Drosophila melanogaster: one gene and its partner. The protein of the gene in region 2 purifies or fractionates together with the protein of the main gene of each other region. This does not show direct contact. Each region holds a gene or a part of one and is shown on either strand. Other genes may lie near its edges.

Region 1 (7,891 bases), on a different chromosome or scaffold from region 2:
ACTGTATCGCAATCCAGTGTAAAATCCGTGAAAACTGCGATATAAATGTTGTGTTTTTTTAAATGGCATGTGAACTGTTATAATTCTAAATTTATTACATTGTAAAATGCGTTTTTATTACAAGGAAGAAACGTGAGATTTGTTCGTAATTGCTTTTTTATTCTATCATTCTGTACAAAATGCGTCCTTATCGTAGAGAATTGCTTAGAGCTATGGCTAGACAAATGTTTCCGTAAGTAGGAATTCAAAAATATACATACATACATGTCTTAGGTAAAGGTACAAATATATGGATATACACATGTCTGCGTCCTTCGGCTGTCCACATTCCATGGGAGGGATCGTGCAGAACAAGTTGAGTGTACACCGATATATCGTAAGGCAATACAGCGAAATGCTTCGCAGCGCCGAGGTGCATGTGCATACATACTCGTCTATGCTTTGCGTTTTATATAGGCGTATAAATATAAGAAATCCGAAGCACTCTGCAGTATGCTCCCTTGTTCTGGGTCGAGCTACGTTGGACTTATTAATCGTTAATCACTAAGGCAAATTTGCGCTCTATATATTGCGTAATGTCAAAAGCAGACGCGCCACGCCCCCTCCATTTCCAACCCTTATCTCCCCGACCACTCTAAATCGTGCCCTTGAGGTTTGTTATGTATGGATTTGGAAAAGTATCAAAATACTTAAAATCGTACAGATAAAACAGATCAGGACCGGCAGGATCACAATGAAGCGCAGTGATCTGGAATCAAAGTATCGAAGTAAATCATAAATATCGAAGAATCCTTACTTTGACATTAATATCAACACACCTTCCTTGCCCTAGGGCTGGGTGTCAGAGATTCAGGTCCATGTCCGCCTCCAGATCAATGTGGTTGAGCGAGTTGCCGGCGCTGTTGAAGATCTGATTATCTGCGTTGCTGTTATCCGTGGTTCCACTCACATCAGCGCTTCGCTTCGATTTACCTAACAGCCAGCAAGAGAATACTTTGACCAAATTTCGGACATTAATATTATGATGATGGCGTTGTCGTTGTAAATGAGCAAGGAAATCAACAGGAAAGGAAAACAATAACGAGACACCTAGCTACGAATACAAACCGCCGTCATGATACATACATTGTCCTCTAAAGCTAGCTGAAACTAAAACCTGAGCTGATCCTCCGACTGGAGTATTGGACTGGGATGTTAAGTGTGGTGGGATGTGGAGCAGATAGTTCCGTAAATGTAGCAACACTTACCGCCCGTAAAGCACAGACAGCCCTCGTCATCGCTAGGCGATTCCCGCCTCGAAGTCTTTAGCTTAAGCTCCTTGTTCAGCTCGTTCAGGCATCGCTGATAGTAATCATAGTCTTTCAGATACCAGACTGGAGGCCATCGGTGCTCGCGCAAGTACTCCTGATTATCCTGGTGTAGCGCCTTTAGGCCCTTGAGTGAAAACTTACAAATAAGGTTGTAATTGACGCACAGGTATGACATGCACCACTCGGCCAATTGATGTGCGTTGTGCAGCTGAAAAAAAAAGAAAAGTATTGAATTTCGGTATATCATTTTTAACTGATCTCTCTATGTGTACCTTCACTGGCTCGAGCAGCTTTAGACAGTGATCCACCGTTTCATTGGTTTCGTTCTGAGAAATCAGAGTGAGATCTTCAATAACGCGGCATTCAACCAGGTTGAGCAGCCGCGGCAGGCAGAGTCTATTGGCCAGCTCCAGCAGATTGAGGCACTTGACGGCCGAGATTGGCGGAATCTGGTCTGTGTACAAATAGCACAGCAGCTTGTGGAATGTGTAAATGGTAACGCCAGGGAATACGATCTAAGGTAAAGGAAATTTATGACAACTGTCCTTAGTTAAGGGGTATTGTGCCCGTTCCTACCACATTGGAATGAGCCTCGCGAAAGTCGCCTAACAACATTGCGCGCATGACATCACAACGACCAACCAACACAGCGCGGTGTGCCTGCAATGCAGCAAAGGTAAGTGTAAACGATTGTGCTTCATATAGTAATTCAACAGACATATGTATGTACCTTCATTAAGCCATCGTCCAATTCAAAGGTGACATCACTGAAGCACCCGTCACCAATGCAATGCCGTTCCATGCTTTCTTTGATGCGCTAATGTATGTAACAGAAAATGGTTAGGATCATAAAATAGATATCATGACATCAATGCGCTCACCAGGCAAATGTGCGGATTTGGCTCATCGCTGGAGTTCTCCATAACGGTTTGAGGCCTGGAAAGTAGCTGAGTCAGTTGCGGCAGTTCTAATAGATCGGCAGCTTCTCGAATTTCCTGTGAGAATTAACAATATATTAGTAGGTCAAACTTAACACAGAATACATTGAAACATTTCCTACCTCGATATTATCGCAATCCTTGTCAATGGTACCGGTATAAATAAATCTCAGGCACTGGTGCAGAGCTTGCGGAGAGATAAGTTTGCTAAGGGTGACAATCGTCTGCAGACCATTTACACCCCGATGGTTTTCCACGTGCACCAGGCGAATGCTCTGCAGGACCGGATGATGCAGCTCCCTGTACAAATCGTTGGACCGCTTAGACTCCATGAGAGGCAACGCCTGGTAGCTGGAGCGGCGCTTCAAGTGTTCCCACATTCTGTGGGTGCAAAATGTATTCAAAGTCAAATGGGCTCAATGCAATCGGGAGGCAGCACCCACCGTTGTGTGCGTGATTCGTAGCGGATCAGGGCCTCCGTGTCATCGTTAAAGTCCGCAATGGTGGCCTCCCCGAATGTTGAGCTGACCATGCTAGATTCGCTGCTGCTCCGCCCGCCCATATCAGTCAGCTCAGTGCTAAGCAGGCGCTGGAAGATGCTGGACGCGGCGGCTAGCATGAACCTGTGCACGGCGAACTTGGTGCCACCCGCCCCGACCAGGACGAGGTCGGTGTAGGCCTGCGACAGGAACATGTTGTAGATGTCCTGCCGATAGTTGCCGACCATGACGGTGACCTCCGGTGGTGGTGGCTTCGGTGGCCGGAACGGCGCCTGCAGCAGGGGCTTCTGCACCTTCTTCAGGTTTGTCATCCAGAAGCGCTGCTGTCGGCGTGCAATCAACGCGGATCGGATGGCGTTTTCAAACACCTCGTTCACCCCAAAGTATGTGAAAACACTGGTCTCGTAGTACGCCACTCCTAGCTCTTTGGCGACGGCACGCGCCTCATCCGGCATAACCAGGTCACTCTTCAACGCGGCTCTTTAAAAAAAGATTATAGTAATGATTGCCTTTAATTTAATCCAATTAAATAGAATATCTCTGAACATATAAACAGATTAATTTGCTATAGTGGGCTAAACATTGAATTATATCTTTCGTGTGTTCTAAATATAATTAAATTATGGTGAATAATTGAATTGATTTGATTAAAGAACAACATTAAAAAGTGAAAGCCACTCAAAACCGGCTGAAACCTGCTAGCTATGCATACCGAACAAAGGTTCCCTTCTCGCCGAAATACGAGAGATAGTTCTCGTCGCGATACATGTAGCGCAGGTCGTTCTTGCAGCCAACTAGAATGACGGGAACATCCGGACAAAAGCGGCGAATTTCCGGATACCACATCATCTTGCAGTTGCGCAGGGAAATCGGACTGGCAATGGAAAAGCACAGCAGCACCACATCGGATCTGTAGGTCAAGAAGGCATCTTATTGATTCGTATGGCGAAAATGCTGCTACATGAGCTCTACACACCTGCCGTATGCGAAGCGCCGATCCTTGTCGTGGTCACCAAATGTGTCCCATAGGCGAAGTGAGACATTCACTCCATCGACCACCTCCCATGATCGCTCGAGTACCTTTAATGTATATGGATTCGGTTAAATGCAATAACTATGACTCTTGAGAGAATGGTAACCCACATCCTTATATATGCGATACTGGTCAATGGCCCACACGGTCGGCACGTGCGTAGAGAGGAGCTGAGATAGCGAGACGTGTTTGTTGCAGGCCCTCGCGCAGATCAGTCGCGTCTTGCCCACGGCCGTGTCCCCCACCAGGACGCACTTCACTAGCTCTTGATGCGGCTGCTCGTTGTCCATTTTGGGCATGCACAAATAGCAGAACCAGCTTATGGAATCTGAAATGAAAATAGTATTGGATTTTTGTGTGATTTAATAAAATGTGGTCTCTCCTGAGGAAAACATACATAAATGAAAATATTGAAAATAAAATAAACTGCTGACACCCCTTCTAATATAAATAAGTGAACTACGTAGAATAGCTGCCTTAATGTTTTTCAGTTCTGATAAGCAGATGCTAAATTCTCGACTAACAATCGACCTGCTAATTACTAAGTTACACAAAGTGTCGTCTGCATTAACGTTTTGTGTGAAGGCAAAATGGTTTCATCACGTGATTAATTTGATTTTAATCTAGATACCTAAGTGCTTCCCAAAATAGAAATACATAGTTTGAAATAATCTACGCACTGGGAAAATTCACTTCTACGTTCAGTTATACGTAAAGCCAGAATAACTGATCTACGCCAATAGGCAATTTTGTTTGTTTACTCGCTGCGCACTGTGAAAATAACTATAGTGAAATCAGATACCAGCTTCGTATCATTTACTTAGAAATCTATTGGATCCCGCAAACGGAGGCTATAAAACCAGCCAATTCATTGACCCCCACTTGATCCACTTGTCGCGGAGGAAGTTGGAGTAAGTACCTCGGATACGGAGCGATAAGCTCGCTCTCTCTCTTTGAACCTCTAATTGAACTTAATTGGGCTGCACTAAAAATATATCTGCCTTCAATCCTCCGGTCGCAATGAGCACACTTCTTCCTGCGTGGCCCACGCTTCATGGCAATCCATTGTCCGATCTTCTCGACGAGCTGCAGTCTGTCTATTTTGGGACGCGCTTTAAACCCAAAACAATAACCATGCAATTGAAAGTACTTCAAGTGGTCGCCAGAAGCGATCGTTGTTCTCCACAGGAAAGTCTTTTGTTCGTGCGAAGACTTTAAGTTACTGTCAATATTGTGGATCGTTGACCTCTGGAATACATGGCAATCGGTTCCACTTTTGCTTTGATTTTCTATAATTTATGTGTTCAATCTATTTAGAGCCATTTGAATTGACTTTATGAAGGTTAAAGAGGGAAGAATATTCTTCAAATATTGAAAAATTAATGTCTGATATAACTACTATAAAATACCGTTTTTATTTTTATTATTTCCTTGTAGAAATATTTTTAAAATATATTATTTAAGTGCCCAGTCTTAAGCAAAGTGAAGCAAAAACAAAGAAACAAAGAAAGAAGACGTTGTGAAGGTAAACAACTGTTAGTTTTTGAAGATATCAGGTATTTTGAAAATGGAAAGATCGTATTTTTTAGTTTTTAAAAGGTATGTTCTTAGTTTTCATTGTAAAATATTTGCACCAACCATAATCTTGGGAAATAAAAACAAAGTTTATTTAGGGACTGGTTCCAATTTATTTCTCATGCGAGGTGTGAACCTGTGGTTTAATTAGACATTTTGATTCGCGAGAATTCGCAGAACACGCCAGCATATTAGCATTATTAACAAACTCTGCGCTGTTTTGCCATGTCTGGGAAGTCTCCTTTCTTCAATTTTGCCAGCTTATTGATTTTCTCGTGCCATTGCAAAACGGCCACAAATACCGTTACCAAACCACACACACATTCAGACTCGCACACAAGGAGGCACAGAAGGGACTTTTAGGAGGGGATCTTGAAGTTCGGACTCGACATTCCGGCAAACTTGACCCATTTAGGGGAGAAAAATCGTTGAACACTTGCACTTTTTCTCGAGGAAAACGCATGTTGGTGGGTAAACAATTAAAACCTGATTAGAACCTAATTCTTCGACTGCTGGCCGAAGGGGAGAGCACAGAATTCCCGAACTCATAAATCTCCGCGGACGTAGCACTGCAGCACTCACCTCTGAAAACGCCTGATCCCACGGATTGCACGAATTGCACGGATTTGCCTCAATGTTCTTACTTTTGCGTATTGCACTTATCAACACGCACACCAAAGCACGGCATTTTACAACAATTTGCATTTATTTCTGCACCCACACACCGATGGCGACGCAGTTTGTGGTTCGCAAACACGCGAAATCTTTACGGCTGGCACAAGTTTAACATCGCTGCGAGCTGGTTGCCGACGGATGGCTGCGGATGAGCCAGTGCTCGCTGACCAGGTGCACTATAAATGAAATTAAAAAATAATAAATTGCAGTTACAGCCCGCAATTCTTCTACGCGCTTTGACGGCAACCGGCCAGTGTTGGAAAACGGCGGCGGTTGGGCGCGGAGCACTGCCAGATTGACGGAGAACGGGAATTCACGGAATATTTATTTTTATAATGACTGTTATCAGGGTTGCCCAATATTTATTGTATGGTCGTTGGAAAAATTTCAAGCATTTGAAATACATTTTGAAATCGCCATCTATCCTAGGTAAGGTGAATATGCAGCTTACTTTAGTCCAAAGTTACATTAGAACTATTAAAAATCATCACTTTAAACTTATTAAGTCTTTCGTATTTGAAAATATGGCCTACCACTTTGTAAAATTTCTCCAATTGGGAATTTCAAATCTGGAACCACTCACAAAATAAACGATCTGGCAACATATTAAACTAGTTCTGCGTGCGCGGTGAGTTGGCAGCTCTGCGAACAGATGATTGTTTGCTATTTTAGTTGTTGCGAAACTAGTTAGAATTTATTTTTCGGTCCAAAAAGCGATTAAAATTGATTGAACGTGTAACCGACCGGCTTGGAAATCTACTCCTCCCACTCTAAGATTTCTTGTGCGCGCTACGTAAAGCCGGAGTAGCGTCGTCAAGAGTATTTCACAAACTCAATGTATCTTACGTGCAGAAAATCGATTTTTGCCTTAACAGCGGTTTTTGGTCGACGGTTGGCAGCAATTAAACAAATTTCCGCTAACGGGCACCACTAAATCGCATTTATTTCGCACAGGTCAAGTGCGTTGAGGGCCAGCATTTCAGTAACACATCGAACGATTGGCACGCTTATAAAACCCAAGATGACAATAGCCGAAAGCTCGCAAAAGTCCGCAACTAGGAAGCCAGACAGCATGGAGCCCATATTGAGGTAAGTGCACGTTACGCATCTTAGAGGTCGTCGAAAGGCAATGGTTCGTCGTTTATAGGCTGAACAACATTGAAAAGTCGCTGCAGGACACACGCGACTACCGCGGATTGCAACTAGAAAATGGACTAAAGGTCCTGCTCATCAGCGATCCCAACACAGATGTCTCGGCGGCAGCGCTGTCCGTGCAAGTGGGGTAAATAAGATCAAATCTTCACTCAATGTTTGTTTTTAATGAGTATACCCATGGCAGCCACATGTCTGATCCCACGAACCTGCCTGGATTGGCCCACTTTTGCGAGCACATGCTGTTCCTCGGCACCGAGAAGTATCCGCATGAGAATGGCTACACCACATACCTTTCGCAGAGCGGCGGAAGCAGCAACGCCGCCACCTATCCCCTGATGACCAAGTACCACTTTCACGTGGCGCCGGACAAGTTAGATGGAGCCTTAGATCGCTTCGCGCAGTTCTTCATAGCCCCCTTGTTCACGCCCAGTGCAACTGAGCGGGAAATCAATGCGGTATGTGAAAGCATTCATTAAAATTTCTGACAGAAATAGGACGCTGTCATTGCAGGTAAACTCTGAGCACGAGAAAAACCTGCCCAGCGATCTGTGGCGCATCAAGCAGGTGAACCGCCACCTGGCAAAGCCTGACCATGCCTACAGCAAGTTCGGCAGCGGCAACAAGACCACCCTATCCGAAATACCCAAGTCCAAGAACATTGATGTGCGGGATGAGCTGCTAAAGTTTCACAAGCAGTGGTACTCC
Region 2 (4,881 bases):
AATCACCACGGTTAGTACACCCAATCAAAGTGCAGTACATGTAACATCGGAACATTGAAAATAAAATCGAAATCGAAAAAAAAATTAAGATAAGCAGAGCATGCCTGATTATGATGTGCTTGCTGATCCTTAATTATTTAGATTGGCTATTGTTTCAGTTTTAAATTTATGAAAACTGAGATCTTTTAATAGCAACTATGTCGCCGACTTTGTACTTTTAGGATGGTCCTCGTCGTAGATTGTATCTCTTTTTCTTCTCGTTTTGAATCTGGAGAAAACGTCTCTTTGCTTGAATTCTATCATTTTATCCTCTAGCATCTGCTGAATCCTTATATTCAATTTTAGGCTCATCTTCCTGCCCTTTTTTTGCTTCAAACAAACATTGAGTTGATGACTTCTGGTACGCCACTGACAATTTATGCCAATGTAGTGGGTCGTCAATTGCAAGTTTTGAAAAAACTGAAGCTTTTGAGTTCACCCTCTCAACCTCTCTATTTCCAAAAATGTTGCTTTGATCTTGAAGTCTTGCAAAATATAAGATGTTGATTTGGGTGTTTGGATTTAGATAGAGCCAGCAGAATTTTGTGAAACTGTCGATTTCTGGTAAAACTGTTTATACTGCTTTTGCGTTGACTCTAGAAGTCCAAGGAAATTTATATGGTAGGTTTGAAGCGGTTGCTTATCTTTGCTGAGTGGATGAAGTTTCACGTAATGTATAGCTACTCCTTTGTGGTTAAATCCCTGAAGATAGCGTTTACATGAAGTTGGATCACACTTGGCGAATTTGAAAGACCGAAAAGGTATTCTCAGAAATTGAAATTGTCAGTTGTGAGTGACTAACGATGTATATTAACGGCTCTACTCGGATGTTTCCATGATGCCGTCTTCAAGCCATTGTTCGGTTTTATTGTCAAAAATGTAACGTTCGGCATAAGAAAATCTGCAGGACCGTATGTATTTCGGCATACCGTATGTATTTATATCTTCGATATAAATTTTGAGATTTGAACTTATATCACCTTCTGATGTGATAGGTTTTGTAATTTTCACTTCTTCACTGTTTACTGTAACTTGAGCTTGTTTGCAAAACTCTTTATCAAACACCATTTATTAGTCGAGGAGGTGCGATTCTAATACGAGAAAATTTTTTAAAAATTCGGCATATTCTGCCTATTGAGAGTTTCTGCTCAAACGATCCTGATGATTTGATCTTATTTTTGTCTGATTTACTAAACCCGACGAGATATATTTTGCAGTCCCTTAACTTTAGCTTGATATTGTCAGTATCTTCCTGAGTTTCTTCGCCGATTTCATTGTCCGTTTCATACTCTTCGCTTTCGTGTTAGTCATTTCCTCGCCAAATTTGGTTCGACTAACATGTTTCTTTGTTGCAATATATGTGTTTTGTCAAGTCGGTCTTATCCTGTTGCAGTTTTTGCAAATTATCGCGAGATCCATATCAGATAATTTGTCTGCGAAGAAATTAATTTCTGTCGATTTGACGATTTGACTCGTCGTAAGCGTAGCCTCGAAATTCTCGCAAGCGTTTTCTGTTATCGAGTACAATGTTTTCCGGATCCGGATTTGCTAACTCTTGCGATACTTTATTTCTTTCTTTATTTTCATTATATTTTAATTCTTGTTTTTAACACTTTTACTACCTTTTTACACTCTGTTATTTTGGTTTAATTTTGTTGTATATTAATTGTTGAGCCCCAAATTATGTGAGACTGAGTTCTTTTTTTTTTGTGATGTGTTTACTGATCCTTGATTGGATATTTGTTTAAGGGGTTTTGGCGAGATAGTCGTTCTCCGGCACGTCTTCTACTTCGTCGTCGTAAAAACATTTTCCTTCCATGGATTTTTCCGTTTAGCTCCCGAAATCGTTCTCTGCCTTTTGAAGGCTCGCCGCGTCGTTAGCTTCGCCTAGTCATCGTTATATTAGCTAGGATGACCATTCCCACATATGCATGTCTGTAAACATTCTCGAATACTCGAAATACATATAAAAGCCTTTCAAGGAATGCATCCATAGGCCTCATAGGGTTCTTACAGGACAAGACTTGAATACTTTTGAAACTTATGTGGAGTTATGAAATAACGTGTCGGAACATATTCCACTCAAATTCCACGTCCGTATGGGGACCTCTCAAGAACGCTTACAGTGTGTAGGCAGTGTGCAGGCAGACGTAGTATAAGCTCATGCTTTGTAAATTTGACTAAATGTGACATTCATATTTTAGAAAATAGTAATAATAAAATAATAAGAACAAAATATAAAGTAATTGTGCTAAATTTTGCCAAAATAGTAAAATAGGAATTATTTACGAACTTTTAATTTTTATGTGCTCATTTTAATTTGATGCTGGTAGGGCTGTTTTTATACAGGTTTGAGTTTCAATAGATTATTTCAATATAAAAAACTTGATTGGCCCAGTTGAATGCCCTTATTTATGCAAAATTCCTTTAATCTCTAAATAAATTAATTTTTAAGATGAAAATTGATACCTGGTTGAAAATCGTCTTTTTCCACAAATATGCACACATACTCACTTTCTTGCGTATGCCTTAATTTACTCAAACAAGTGCGTAAAAAAAATTAGATTTGATTTCAACTGAAAGAAATAAGCTGCGAGCCACTGTATGAGAATTCCATGAAAAACGTTGAACTGCCGATGCTAAGTTAATCATAAAATGGTCCACGTCAATATAAATATTAAATAAATATCAATTTACATTACAGGTCTCGGAACATACATACATAAGTAAGTTAATGGATGGACATATTAACATACATTCTATGTACGAACCTAAGAACCCATGACAACACGCATATCTAGTTGTTTTTTCATATTAAAATAAACAAACACTTTTTTTAATTATAAAAAGTTAAGTAAATTAGACACAGCTTATGTGCAAAACTACTAGTTTCATCAACAAAAAATCATCAACTGGGTAGCAGATGGTACCTCCTTTTCTTACTGATTTTACTTTTCCATATATGTATGCATGCATTACATATGTATGCATTTTTAAATGGACTTACACAGAAATTCAGTATATTTCACCTATACACTAAAGATTTACTAAGGCAAATATCAAGATGTTTGTGTAAACTGCTGATGTATGAATCGAATGAATTGAGATTTATTCATATTAACTTCAACCTTACACAATTTTCAAAGTCGATTTGTGACGTTCTGCGTAAATATGCACGATACTGCATTTTTTTTTTACTCAGATGGAAATGTATATATATTAAATATATTATATATTTATTAAAGGCAAATTAATTTTCGTTCTTGATCTTGGATCTTGATCTTGGATCCAAGGACAGTTTGACAGTTTAGCCATACAATTTCGCAATCTTGTAGCAGTGCAAGTTTGTAAAGTTGTTAGTCTCAAAATAGATCATAGAAAAAATAGATCGGTGAAAATATATCACTAACAAACGGTGTTAAAAACCAAATGATTGTAAAGTTTGGTCATGGCAGCTTTGTCAGTTTTCCGGGCTTAGACAAGTTTTTTTAAGCATATCAATAGAAATTAAATTAAAAAGAACCGAAACATAATTTAATTTAATTTAATAATTTTTTAATTTTAGTTGACCTTTCGAATGGACGCGAGAACTTTCTGAAATATGTTGTTTTTCTAGCTTTTATATTTCCCCAGATCTCGAAGTATACACGGACTGACTAGATCATGAATACATATAATGTATACGGTGGTAAAGGAATTTGCGTCAAAATAGCGCAGATGAGTTAGTTGCGTTGGCGGAACGGCAGAATTTTTAACATGGGAACGTTCTTATTTACTTGTTCTTTTAGTCTTTACTTATAGGTGAATTTAAAAAAAAGAATGTTATGAAAAGAATGATCTAACTATCTATTTACGACAAAAGTTTGAAGGACCCAAAAAAGTATTACAATATGCAATTTAAAAATAGGCACCCAACTTTTTAGGGAATATCGCCATTCTCAAAAGGTGTTCCAAAATGAACGCTAGACAACCTTAAAGGATATTTCAGGAAAATTAAAAAAAATTATCCACAGTTTTTGTGATAATTGCATAGTACAGCTATAAAAAAGTTTTTAATTTTTTTTTTTTTGACTTAAAATTACAGAGGTCCCAACATAAAGGGCCCTGGGAAAAGGTCCCTCTGAAATTAGCTTTCAAAGCGAACGGTCGTGTTAGTTGCGCTCCGATTTTTATTTTGTGTTTGTCAAACAAGCCGTGGTTTTTAATAATCTTCTTTAATTATCATATATTTTAAACATAATTATTAAAGATTCCGTTCGCTTCGCGAGTGATTCTTTTGTGATTTGTGCAGTAGTTTAAACAAATATACAAAGTATTTTGCATTTTTCGTCCTTGTGTTATGTTTACTCTCCCTTTTGTACGTTGTTCGCAGTGCTGTTCGGTGTGGTTTTTTGCATGCGCCCACACAAAATCTAAATTTCTCAGCGTGCAGACTGCTCTCTTGCGGTTCTTTTAACACCTCGCTAGAATGTTTTGATCTTGTGTTTTCGTGCACAGTGGTCTGATTTTAGATAAACATGGAAACCGTAAATGTTGTCTGCTTTTATAAAAATTGTTGCCAGGTTATAAAACCTGAGCACCAAAAATTGTTTTGTTGGCTATGTGATAGAATGGTGCATACTAAGTGCGCTGGTTTTAATGGCCGAACAAGCGATGACCTAGCGAAGGGTAAAAATTAAAATTACTGTTGTGATGCTTGCCTTGTGGTTGCGAACGAGATGAAATTGTTTATGCGCCAAACTAAATGTGGCTTGGAAAGAACTTATCAACAGTTTTGGCGTAGCTAGAGATAGTTTTCGCCGAGTCGATGATCTTCTTTCCGTGCTTAATTCACAGTTTAAT

Evidence for each region.
Region 1: the proteins of conu (region 2) and RhoBTB purify together in Drosophila melanogaster (affinity purification with western blotting, with the first as the bait; one study listed by BioGRID). This does not show direct contact.

Annotation. Positions count from the first base shown.
Region 1 is NT_037436.4:20,374,649-20,382,539, reverse strand, and holds RhoBTB (Rho-related BTB domain containing), read right to left. Parts: upstream 6,299-7,891; 5' UTR 5,939-6,298; intron 4,799-5,938; exon of another isoform or gene 4,701-4,798; intron 4,110-4,700; 5' UTR 4,081-4,109; coding exon 3,892-4,080; intron 3,829-3,891; coding exon 3,725-3,828; intron 3,659-3,724; coding exon 3,461-3,658; intron 3,229-3,460; coding exon 2,692-3,228; intron 2,630-2,691; coding exon 2,371-2,629; intron 2,306-2,370; coding exon 2,192-2,305; intron 2,128-2,191; coding exon 2,041-2,127; intron 1,971-2,040; coding exon 1,887-1,970; intron 1,826-1,886; coding exon 1,583-1,825; intron 1,519-1,582; coding exon 1,248-1,518; intron 994-1,247; coding exon 842-993; coding exon of another isoform or gene 819-841; intron 749-818; coding exon of another isoform or gene 658-748; 3' UTR 142-657; downstream 1-141. Other genes in the region: CG5498 (uncharacterized protein), read left to right, coding at 1-45; Ide (insulin degrading metalloproteinase), read left to right, coding at 7,053-7,120, 7,179-7,313, 7,371-7,641, 7,697-7,891.
Region 2 is NT_033778.4:4,742,567-4,747,447, reverse strand, and holds the start of conu (conundrum), read right to left. Parts: upstream 3,101-4,881; 5' UTR 3,047-3,100; intron 3,044-3,046; exon of another isoform or gene 2,811-3,043; intron 2,793-2,810; exon of another isoform or gene 2,554-2,792; intron 1-2,553. UniProt on the Drosophila melanogaster protein: GTPase-activating protein (GAP) for Rho1; functions with the ERM protein Moe to regulate Rho1 and control proliferation in the developing epithelium. Recruited by Moe to the cell cortex where it negatively regulates Rho1 activity.